Danio rerio: one gene and its partners. The protein of the gene in region 1 interacts with the protein of each later gene in a biochemical or structural test. Links are inferred from orthologs where the notes say so. Each region holds a gene or a part of one and is shown in the gene's direction. Other genes may lie near its edges. The genes, in order: card11, bcl10 and prkcq.

Region 1 (3,661 bases):
ATTCATTTTCTTTTCGGCTTAGTCCCTTTCTTAATCTGGGTTCGCCACAGTGGATTGAACTGCCAACTTGTCCAGCGCATTTGACACAGCGGATGCCATTCCAACTGCTAAACTCTCATACACTCTCATTTACACACATAAACTAAAGCCAATTTAGCTTAACCAATTTACCTATAGCGCATGTCTGTGGGGTAAACCGGAGCACCCGGAGGAAACCCACGCCAACACAGCAAGAACATGCAAACTCCACACAGAAATGACAACTGACCCAACCGAGGCTCGAACCAGCGACCTTCTTGCTGTGAGACGACAGCACTACCCACTGCGCCACCGTGCCACCCACTTTGAAGACTTTTTTATTAAATGAAGTAAATATATGTGAAAATAAATAATTACATACATAAATAAATACATACATACATTATAATGATTAGAAAATGCAGTATTGTTGCAGTAGTATAGAAATCTATTATTTTCCAAGAATGGGGGATTATAATCATATTTGGGAACAATCATATTGGGGAACATTGCAAACAAAACACCCTAATTTTATTGATTTGATGTTTTTTGGAAAAGCTAAATTTAGTGATATACAATTTTGCTAATTTTACTTTTGACTTGATTGGCATTTATTTTTTTAACTGACATGACATGAAAAAAACCTACAGTACATATTTAATTAAATTAAAAGCGACTTCAATTTTGTCGAACATGTACTATATAAAGTACCTTAATAAAGTCGACATTAAGACATTACTCTGTATACTTTTTTAGTTTTGCTTGTGGTTTTGTTTCAGGCCGGCTGCTGGATATCCTGCACACGAAGGGAGAGCGAGGCTATGTGGTTTTTCTGGAGAGTCTTGAGTTGTATTACCCTGACCTCTACAAACTGGTCACGGGGAAGGAGCCGACACGCAGATGCTCCACTATAGTCGGTGAGACACTTTTAAATTAAAATACTGCACATATAAAAGATCTATGACCATGTTTTAAAATTGTTTGTTGCCTTGCACCTGCTTCTCCTGTGGGATGAGTATCTGCAATAAATCCCATTTCCAAATCCCATTTTAAGCAGTTGCTTCTAATAATAATTAATACATATAATAAATAAATAAATAAATAAATAATAATATGTAAGCACCTTGGTGGTACACTAATAGTATCAGAAGGTGCTATATAATTACCATACTCGTACAATATAACATATAATTGACATATCAAGTATACTACAGTGCAGCCGGAAAGTATTCATATCGCTTCACTTTTTTCACAATCTTTAATGTTACAGTCTTATTCCTAAATGTATTTAATTCATTTATTTCCTCAAAATTCTACAGACAATAGCCCATAATGAAAGTGTGAAAAAAGATTTTTTGAAATTGTTGCAAATTTATTAAACATAAAAAACCTGAAAAAACACATGCGTATAAGTATTCACAGCCTATGCTCAATACGTTGTTGATGCACCAGTGGCTGCAATTACAGCCTCAAGTCTTTTTGAATATGATGCCACAAGCTTGGCACACCTGTCTTTAGGTGTTTTGCTGTACCTCTCAAGCTCTATTAGGTTGGATGGGAAGCGACGGTGTACAGCCATTTTCAGATCTCTCCAAAAATAAGATTTAGGTCTGGGTTCTGGCTGGGCCACTCAAGGACATTCACCAAGTTGTTGTGAAGCCACTCCATTGATATTTTAGTGGTGTGCTTTGAGTCATTGTCCTGCTGGACGATGAACCGTCGCCCCAGTCTGAGGTCAAAAGCACTCTGAAGCAGGTTTTCATTCAGCATGTCTCTGTACATTGGTGCATTCTTCTTTCCCTCCATTCTGACTAGTCTTCCAGTTCCTGCTGCTGAAAAACATCACCACAGCATGATGCTACCACCACCATGCTTCACTGTAGGGATGGTATTAGTCTAGTGATAAGCGGTGCCTGGTTTTCTCCGAACGTAATGCCTGGCATTCACTCCAAAGAGTTAAATTTTAGTCTCGTCAGACTAGAAAATTTTGTTTCTTATGGTCTGAGAGTCCTTCAGATACCTTCTGGAAAATTAGAGGCGGTAAGTGGCTTCCGTCTGGTTAATCTACCACACAGGCCTGATTGGTGGATTGCTGCACAGATAGTTGTTCTTCTGTAAGGCTCTCCTCTCCACTGGAGCTCAGACAGAGTGACCATTGGGTTATTGATCATCTCCCTAACTAAAGCCCTTCTCCCCCGATCACTGAGCTTAGAGGGCCGGCCAGCTCTAGGAAGAGTCCTGGTGGTTCCAAACATCTTCCATTTACGGATGATGAAGGCCACTGTGCTCATTGGAACTTTCAGAGCAGCAGAAATTTTTGTGCCTTGAGACAATCCTGTCTCGGAGATCTACAGACAATTCTTTTGTCTTCATGCTTGGTTTGTGCTTTGACATGCAATATCAACCCTTGGACCTTATATAGACAGGTGTAAGCCTTTTCAAGTCATGTCTAATCAACTGAGTTTACCACAGGTGAACTCCAATTAAGCTGCTGAAACATCTCAAGAATGAGCAGTGAAAACAAAATGTACCTTAGCTCAATTTAGAGCTTCACAGCAAAGGCTGTCAATAATTATGTACATGTGATTTTTCAGGTTTTTTATTTTTAATAGATTTGCAACAATTAAAAAAATAAAAAATAAATATAAATATATATATATATAAATATATACATATTGTCATTATGGGGTATTGTGTGTAGAATTTTGAGAAAATAAATGAATTTAATTTATTTTGGAATAAGGCTGTAATATAAAATTGAAGCACTATGAATACCTTCCGGATACACTGTATATGGTGTTATTGGTGCTTTTTTCAGTTCCCACTTCTTATAGCTATTAATATAAATAAGAACTAGTTCTCAATTACACTGACTGGTCAAACAGAGGTTATAATCATATACTACTATGTACTAACATCGGTAAATGAATGATTTGTGTTCATATTGTGTTGCAAGATTAGGGTTAGGGATAGGCTTGGTGGTATGGTTAGGTTTATGGGTGGGTAAAGTGTAAAGCAGGGGTCTCAAACTCGCGGCCCGCGGGCCACTTGCGGCCCTCAGTGCAATACTTTTTTCCCTAGGACTTCAATAAGTCAAAGTACAGGTCTAGACTTAATGATGATCATCTTCAAGCCATACTGAGGGTCTCAACTGCTTCCGCTCTAAAGCCAAATGTGGTTCAGATTTGTGAGAGGAAGCGCTGTCAAGTCTCTGGCAGCAAAGAGTAGGCAAAAGATGCCATGTTCAGAAGAACTGTTCATAATCTTCACTCAATGTTCTATTAATGTTCAGGACACTTCATGTTCAGAAGAAATAATTAAAACTGTTAATAATGACATTTGAGGACTTTTTTTTTGTGAAATCCCTTATGCGGCCCAGCCTCACCCAGACTTTGCCTCCTGCGGCCCCCAGGTAAATTGAGTTTGAGACCCCTGGTGTAAAGGATAGGTTAATGGGGTAGTCATATGTAATTAAATAAAATATTTACAGCGGTAACTGCGTGCAGATCTTTAAAATATCGGTTCAAAATAAAACCTGTATGTACACAATAAGTGCATTGCACCAAATGATCCATGTAAGCACATGGTAGTTAAAGTCACTTGATATAAGGTGGTACACCTATTTCTCATTTACACTGAGCGG
Region 2 (4,289 bases), on another chromosome or scaffold:
TTAGTACTCCTAATAAACAGTGGGGATCGAAAGTTTGGGCGCCCCAGGTAAAAATTTGAATTAATGTGCATAAAGAAGCCACGACAAGATGGAAAAATCTCCAAAAGGCTTTAAATTACAGATTAGACATTTTTTTAATGTGTCAAAAAAGTTAAACTTTATTTCCATCATTTACACTTTCAAAATAACAGAAAATAAAAAAAAAAACATTCTGGGAACGTTCTCTGTAGGTTTTTTTTTTTTTTTTGGTAACCAAAATATAACCTTCCCAGAACGTTCTCTGCAGGCTATTTTCAATGGTTAATTTATTACCTACAGAGAACCTTCCCAGAACATTCCCTCTAGGTTTTATTTAGGTTTTTTTCATAACCTTGAGAGAACCTTCCCAGAACGTTCATTGTAGGTTAATTTTGGGATCTATTTTATAACCAAAAGAGAACCTTCTCAGAACGTTTTTTTGTTGATTATAATATCTTGAACTGCCGCCTTTGGCAAGTATCACAGCTTGTAAATGCTTTTTGTACAATTTTAAGTTTACAGTTTACATTTCAGATATAACTTTGTTTCAAATGTTACACTCTAAAAAAACGTTGAGTTATTTATTTAACCCAATAATTAAGTTAAACATATTTGGTGCTTTGTTGGGTTATTTTAACCTTTATTATGTTATTTATTAGTAACTCAACCAGTTGGGTTAAATAGTATGTGCTTTGTTGGGTTATTTTTAACCTTTATTATGTTATTTAATAGTAACTCAACCAGTTGGGTTAAATAGTATGTACTTTGTTGGGTTATTTATATCATAACTCAACCAGTTGGGTTAGAATTTTTAATTTCAACAGTCAACTGATTTAACTGACACAGAACAGCTGTATTAATATGTGCGCTTAATGTTGTTTTTGCATTCTAAAGTTTATTTAAGCTCTTAACGCAATAATATTGTTGTCTTTAGCACCCAGCGGAGACATTTATTTATTTACACTATCATAATTATAAAATTAATAGTAGTAATAGTAATAGAGTAATACCAGAATGAAAAAAAAACATGTATTTAAAATAACCCAATGCATTGAGTTAAAATACCCCATAGTTGGGTTTAATGTTGGGGTATTTTTAACCCAACTATTTTATCAGAGTATGAAAAATGCACAAATACAATCCCAATACAGTAAAAAGAATTAAATTGGAAAACACATGTAGGGGTATATACATCATCACAAATTAAAGGAAAATATTACATAATTTACAAATTTTACAAGTTCTCCCCTGTAAAATGATGACGTGATGCTGGGTTATGGCGTCATTCACAGAAAGTATGTAGGCTATCAATAAGGAAGTTAAAGCGCCGGTAGTTCCCCTTTACTATATGAGAACTACGAGTGGATCCAACGTGTGCTAACAAGTTCGTGTCTGGACATTTTGGCTGATTTCTGGTCGCCGATGTGGAATTTGAAGCACCGTTTTCTTACCGGAACGAGTTAAAAACTGAACAGTAGTGAAAAACAACAAAACGAAAAGAGAGGATGGATGTTACTCACCTGACGGAGGACGAAATGGCCGATATAAAGAAGGAAGTGAGTAAAACGAAACAAAACGCGTTAATGAAATCGAGAATCTATTAATCAGATAATGCCTTCGTAAAAGTAGAAGTGAAAGCGCTGAGGGGCACTGACCACAAACCTGATCGATGCAACCAAACGTTTATCAGGTGTAAAAACCTGAAAGCAAATGATTTCCAAATGAGTTCGTCAAGTTTTTATACTCCGACTTCACTTTATTAGAGTGTGAACTGCTTTATGAAGTACCTAAGACGAGCATATTAATCATATTGGTCTACGAGATTAAATAAACCCACATTAAAACATACTACAGTGGACTAACTTAATTCTGGCAAATATTAGTGTTTATGAACAATGCTAAAGTAGGCTAACGTTACTTGAATTAATCTGTTGTGGTAATTTTGTTGTTGTTATGGTAATACAACAGTATAAACATGTCACAATACTGTAATACATACAACTATACAGTTTACACATAATAGTAGCTTACAATACTAATGTAACACTAATAACACACTGCTAACGTATACTACAGTATTTATAACAGCTTATGAGTTCAATATTGATAAGTAAAATTCATTTATAAAGAGTTCACTAAAGAGTTTAATACACTTAACTATAGTATAGTTCAAAAACATTACTTTTCCAGCATATGTTTTACGCAGCGGATGCCCTTCCAGTACTGGGAAGTATATATATATATATATATATATATATATATATATATATATATATATATATATATATATATATATATTTTTTTTTTTTTTTTCCTTCAGCTTAGTCTCTATTTCAGAGGTCGCCACACAGGTTTCACGCAGCGGATGTCCTTCCAGTATTGGGAAACTTGTAATATATATATATATATATATATATATATATATATATATATATATATATATATATATATATATATATATATATATATATATATATATATATACACAGTTGAAGTCAGAATTATTAGCCCCCTTAATTATTAGCGCCCCTGTTTATTTTTTTTCCCAATTTCTGTTTAATGAAGGGAAGATTGTTTCATCACATTTCTAAACATAATAGTTTTAAAAACTTATTTCTAATAACGAATTTATTTTCTCTTTGATGACAGTAAATAATATTTTAATTAATATTTTAATATTTCAAGACACTTCTATACAGCTTAAAGTGAAATTTAAAGGCTTAATTGGGTTGATGTGGTGAATTTTAAGGTAAAGGTAATTTTGTCCCAAAATGTTTTTTAAAAAATTAATAACTGTTTTTAATCTTGCCAAAATAAAATAAATAAGACTTTCTCTAGAAGAAAAAATATTATCAGACATACTGTGAAAATTTCCTTGCTCTGTTAAACATCATTTGGGAAATATTTAAAAAAATAAAATAAAATCAAAAGGTGGCTAATAATTCTGACTTATATATGTGTGTGTGTATTCTTTTTAAATACTATATATAACTATTGCACTTCAATACACTACAGTTTACAAATTTATACATACACTGCTAACGTATACTACTGTATTTATTACAGATTATAAGTTTAATGTTGATAAGCAGCATTCATTACAAAGAGTTTGCTATACCGTTTAATATACGGTTCAAAAACACTATTTACTAAATATATTTATTTATATAAATTTAATTAATTCATTTTCCTTCGGCTTAGTCTCTATTTCAGAGGTCACCACAGTGGAATGAACCGCCAACTATACTATGGATACCCTTCCAGCCCCAACCCAGTACTGGGAAACTATTTATATACATTTATTTTATATTATATTATATATATATATCTGCCACTATATATATATATATATATATATATATATATATATATGTATGTATATATATGTATGTATATATATATATATATATATATATATATATATATATATATATATATATATATATATATATATATATATATACATACATATATATATACATATATATATATATATATATATATAGTTCAATACACTTAACTATAGTATGGTTCAAAAACACTATTTGCTATATATATATTTATATTATTTTACTATATGTATTATAGTAAAATATATTATATTAAACATAAAAAAGAATTATCTTTTATTAACTTAGCAGATATTTATTTAGTAGGCAGACGCTTTTAATAAACACTACAATTCAACAGAGAGTAGCAGTATATAAATGATATGTAAAGCACAAGCCTACAAGTCAAATTTATTCATTCATTCATTCATTCATTCATTCATTCATTTATTTATTTATTTATTTATTTATTTATTTATTTATCTTTGTTGAATAAGAGAAATCACACTAATCTCTGATCAAATCCTTGACACATGCCCAATAATTTTTGCCTGTCTTAAATGTTCCCTGCTTCAAAAATACTGATATATAATAGCCTCCCTGCAAAGCTCCCTGAAAAACTATGAGCTATTGGGCTTAGTGTTTTAAATGCAAAGTGTGGTCATTTCACATGTTTAATTGATTTAGTAATATAGGTTCATTGATAAATAAAATGTATTTATCAATTATTTTTAAAAGCATCTTCACTTTACAGCATTTTTACACAAGTGCCTAAAACTTTGAACAGCTTTGCTGGTAGGTTTTTGGAAGCATCTTCAAGATGAGCCAGAGTTCTTCTTAACCGAGTTGTCCATCAGACAGACTGGATGATGATCAGATCATCTCTGAAAGTAAACTCACTGTTGAAGTACAATTAATGATCAAAATAATGTCTAACTATTT
Region 3 (3,661 bases), on another chromosome or scaffold:
ATTAGAAACTGTTTTTTGTCATACTTCTTTAACAAAAATCAACAGTGTATTTATTTGACCTATAGTAAAAATGCAGTACATTGCCTGAATGTAAAGATCTGATAAAGATACTCACATGTCGTGCGTGTTGACACGTATTTCTGGCTAATTGAAGTCAATTTAATTTATTATTTAATTTATTTTATTTTATGTTTTTGCAGAAATGCGTAAACACAGAAAACTAGAATCATTGAAATGCGTTGGGTAAACCTGAGTAAAATCTCATTTTCCAAAAATGGACACTTATGACTGGTTTTGTAGTCTAGGGCAGGGATGGGCAAACTTGATCCTCGAGGGCCGGTGTCCCCGCAGAGTTTTGTTCCAACACTAGTCAAACACACCTGAACATGCTTATCAGCGTCTTCAAGATAACTAGAAATCTCTAAACAGGTTAGTGTGATTAGAGTTGGAGCTAAACTGTGCAGGACACCAGCGCTCCAGGACCGAGTTTGCCCACCCTTGGTCTAGGGTCACAAACATTTTCAGTTTGCATGTAATTTATCAACAAATATGAAATTATCTTAAGCAGATGATAAAATATTGCAGGTCACACTTTATTTTGTGGTCCGTTTGTTAAATTTAAATTACATTGCATCTACATGCCAACTAATTCTCATAAGGTTACAAGTAGTAGACATGTACATGCAAAGTTCCTTATAGTCAGTTAAATGTGTTGAAGAAGCAGTATCAATAGATATAAAGCAGACAGTCTACTAAAACTCAAATGGAACATCAAAATAAAGTGTTACCAAATTACACACCCCTAAAACTCCATTCACAATAGTTTTAAGTTAGATACCTAAACCATGCAAATAAGTGAATAAAAGTTATTTGTAATACATAATGTGCACTTTATACCTCACAGATACTGCTTGGTCAGAAATATGGGACATCTGTAGACTGGTGGTCATTTGGCGTCCTACTTTACGAGATGCTGATTGGCCAGTCTCCATTTCATGGGCACGATGAAGAAGAGCTGTTTCAGTCAATTCGCACAGATGACCCTTGTTACCCACGCTGGTTAACTAGAGATGCACGAGACATTCTTGTGAAGGTATATCTGAACTAGAGATCAATATAAGACTTGTGATTCTGTTATGAACTATAACAGTGTTTGTATATAAAATAACACAGTAAAACACTGATTGGTTTTAGCTGTTTGTCCGGGAGCCAGAGCGAAGGCTGGGCGTGAAAGGGAATATACGGCAACATCCCTTCTTTAGAGAAACAGACTGGAGCGCGCTGGAGGAACGACAGGTGGAGCCACCCTTCAAGCCCACTGTGGTAAGTTCATTACAGACCACAACGATTGTCATTTCTGCTCTAAAACCTGATGGGCTGTTGATATGGATAACATTTAAATGCTAATTAACAGCGCACAAACGCCAATAAACAATTTGTCGGATCAGTCGGCATCTGTTGCCATTGATCGGAGTTTTGTTTTCACCCAAATTAACATGTTTAATCTGCGTTTGTTAAATTGTGGATCACTGATTTTACAGTACAACTAAATACAATAGTTAATTTGCTTGTTGCCATTTGTCTGTGAAGTGTGAATTGGCTTTTAAAGGCATCAGATGCAGAGCAGGTTACAAAATAAACCAAATGAATCCTAAGCCTTAGAGTTAAACGGCAAAGCATACAGTAAAGGGTTAGTTCGCACTAAAAAACATTACTAGTTTGCATTCATTCAAAACACATTGATAACATTCAACAACAAAGTGTTAACATTTAATCAATACAACTATTTTTATGCCATTTGGTATTTTTTTAGCTACCAGAACCTTTTTCAGTAAGTACTAGTACATTTTAGGATGTCTATTCTTAAGAAACTAGCAGCACAAACCTTTTGTTAAGTTACTATTTTTATTAGATAATAGCATTCACTATTAAATACTTATTCATTAAATACTTGTATTCATTTATTACATGCTATAATTTATAGTCACATGTACATACTAAAATTTATCAAAAAGCCTACTAGTACTTACTGGTGCTGTCCTAACTACACATGCTGCAACACCCAATAAAATGTATCTTTTTCATGTTAAAGGGAGTTTTTGTCCTAGTAACCATCTCATGGCAATGCATGAATTTTAGAAATTCTTTCTATTTCTGTGACATTGTGGCTACTACAGCATATACTAATAAGACAATGATCATCTCGGGTAGAAATTATGTGCTTTATACAGGGTTAAATACAATGTGAGTTTAAATACCATTTTACTTTACATTTATTATTACTGAAAGCTGAAGCAGTTAACCTAAGATCTTGAAAATAAACAAACTATCAGGCAATTTGAAAATGAAAGTCAGAGTTACAACATACTGTAAGTCACTCAGTAGCCTACTAATAATGTTAAAGAGGTTGAATGTGTAATATTAAAAGCCTTTACCATTTTGCTGGGAGTCGGTAGCTGGTATTTAAATGTTTCTGTCGTGTCATGTTTGGTTCAGACAGCCAAATTGCTTGTCGCTGGAATCTTGTCTTGTCTTGTTAGGACAAAGTGTTATTCTTGATTAAATGCTAGCAGTTTTTCACTAGATTCATTAAAAATGGCCAATTATTCATTGGATACCAGTTCAGTAAACAGATAGGAATGTTTTATATACTAGTACCTATATTATTGGATACTTGTTATTTAATAAAACAAGTACTAAAATTTATTATTACAGTAAGTACTATAGCAACTATTAAGTATATCCTAGTTTGCTTATTTTAAATACTATTTATTTAGTAGTATCTAATTACTTCTCGTAGTTATTAATTAGACACTTGTACATTTATTCATTTTCTTTTCGGCTTAGTCCCTTTATTAAAAAAAGGGGCATGTTTTACGGAGCAGATGCCATTCCAGCTGCAACCCATCTCTGGAAAACATCCCTACACACTCATTCACACTCGTACACTACAGACAATTTAGCCTATACTACATGTCTTTGGCACATGGAACGCCATGTGACCTAGCTGAGGCTCAAACCAGCGACCTTATTGCTGATAGGTGACAGCACTACCTACTGCGCCACCGTGTCACCGACACCTGTACATGTAAAAAAAAAAGATAACAGAATTTTTGTTTTTGGTGTAACTTTTGTTAAATTTTTTCCAAAACAGGAATTTAAGCTGTATTTAGTTTATATGTTACTGAAGTCAATGACAGAAGATGCATTAGCTCTGAGACAGGATATAAATGTATGATTTAATGAGGTACATTTTAATTTATACATATCCGAGTGTTGTTTTTAGCTTGGCGACATGCTAAAGTTGCAATTTCTCTGTGTTGTGCACCATTAATGCTGGTGTAGATCATTTGAATTCCGTACATTTTGAGGTTTAGTTTTAGTTATGGTGTCTGTAGTAGACAATAGAACTGAACGCAGCACCTCACAATAGATTTTAGAGGTTTGTTGCAAACATTTATCTGTGACTATGACGTTTTGTTTTTTTTTGTTTGTTTGTTTACAGAAATCAGCAAATGACTGCAGTAACTTCGATAAGGAGTTCATAAACGAGAAGCCTCGACTCTCCGTCACAGATCGTATGATGATCAATAGCATGGATCAGAGCATGTTCGAAAACTTCTCCTTTATCAACCCTATCATGACTCGTCTCAAGAGCCCC

Evidence for each region.
Region 2: the proteins of card11 (region 1) and bcl10 form a complex in vitro, tested with the Homo sapiens proteins (2 studies listed by BioGRID, with this or other methods). The link is inferred for Danio rerio from reciprocal best matches to the Homo sapiens genes CARD11 and BCL10.
Region 3: of the proteins of card11 (region 1) and prkcq, one has a biochemical effect on the other in vitro, tested with the Homo sapiens proteins (2 studies listed by BioGRID). The link is inferred for Danio rerio from reciprocal best matches to the Homo sapiens genes CARD11 and PRKCQ.

The regions. Positions count from the first base shown.
Region 1 is NC_133178.1:40,598,105-40,601,765, forward strand, and holds part of card11 (caspase recruitment domain-containing protein 11), read left to right. Parts: intron 1-797; coding exon 798-935; intron 936-3,661. UniProt on the Homo sapiens protein: Adapter protein that plays a key role in adaptive immune response by transducing the activation of NF-kappa-B downstream of T-cell receptor (TCR) and B-cell receptor (BCR) engagement.
Region 2 is NC_133177.1:2,091,421-2,095,709, forward strand, and holds the start of bcl10 (B-cell lymphoma/leukemia 10), read left to right. Parts: upstream 1-1,344; 5' UTR 1,345-1,523; coding exon 1,524-1,574; intron 1,575-4,101; exon of another isoform or gene 4,102-4,213; coding exon of another isoform or gene 4,214-4,237; intron 4,238-4,289. UniProt on the Homo sapiens protein: Plays a key role in both adaptive and innate immune signaling by bridging CARD domain-containing proteins to immune activation.
Region 3 is NC_133179.1:26,090,504-26,094,164, forward strand, and holds part of prkcq (protein kinase C theta type), read left to right. Parts: intron 1-904; coding exon 905-1,093; intron 1,094-1,194; coding exon 1,195-1,323; intron 1,324-3,505; coding exon 3,506-3,661. UniProt on the Homo sapiens protein: Calcium-independent, phospholipid- and diacylglycerol (DAG)-dependent serine/threonine-protein kinase that mediates non-redundant functions in T-cell receptor (TCR) signaling, including T-cells activation, proliferation, differentiation and survival, by mediating activation of multiple transcription factors such as NF-kappa-B, JUN, NFATC1 and NFATC2.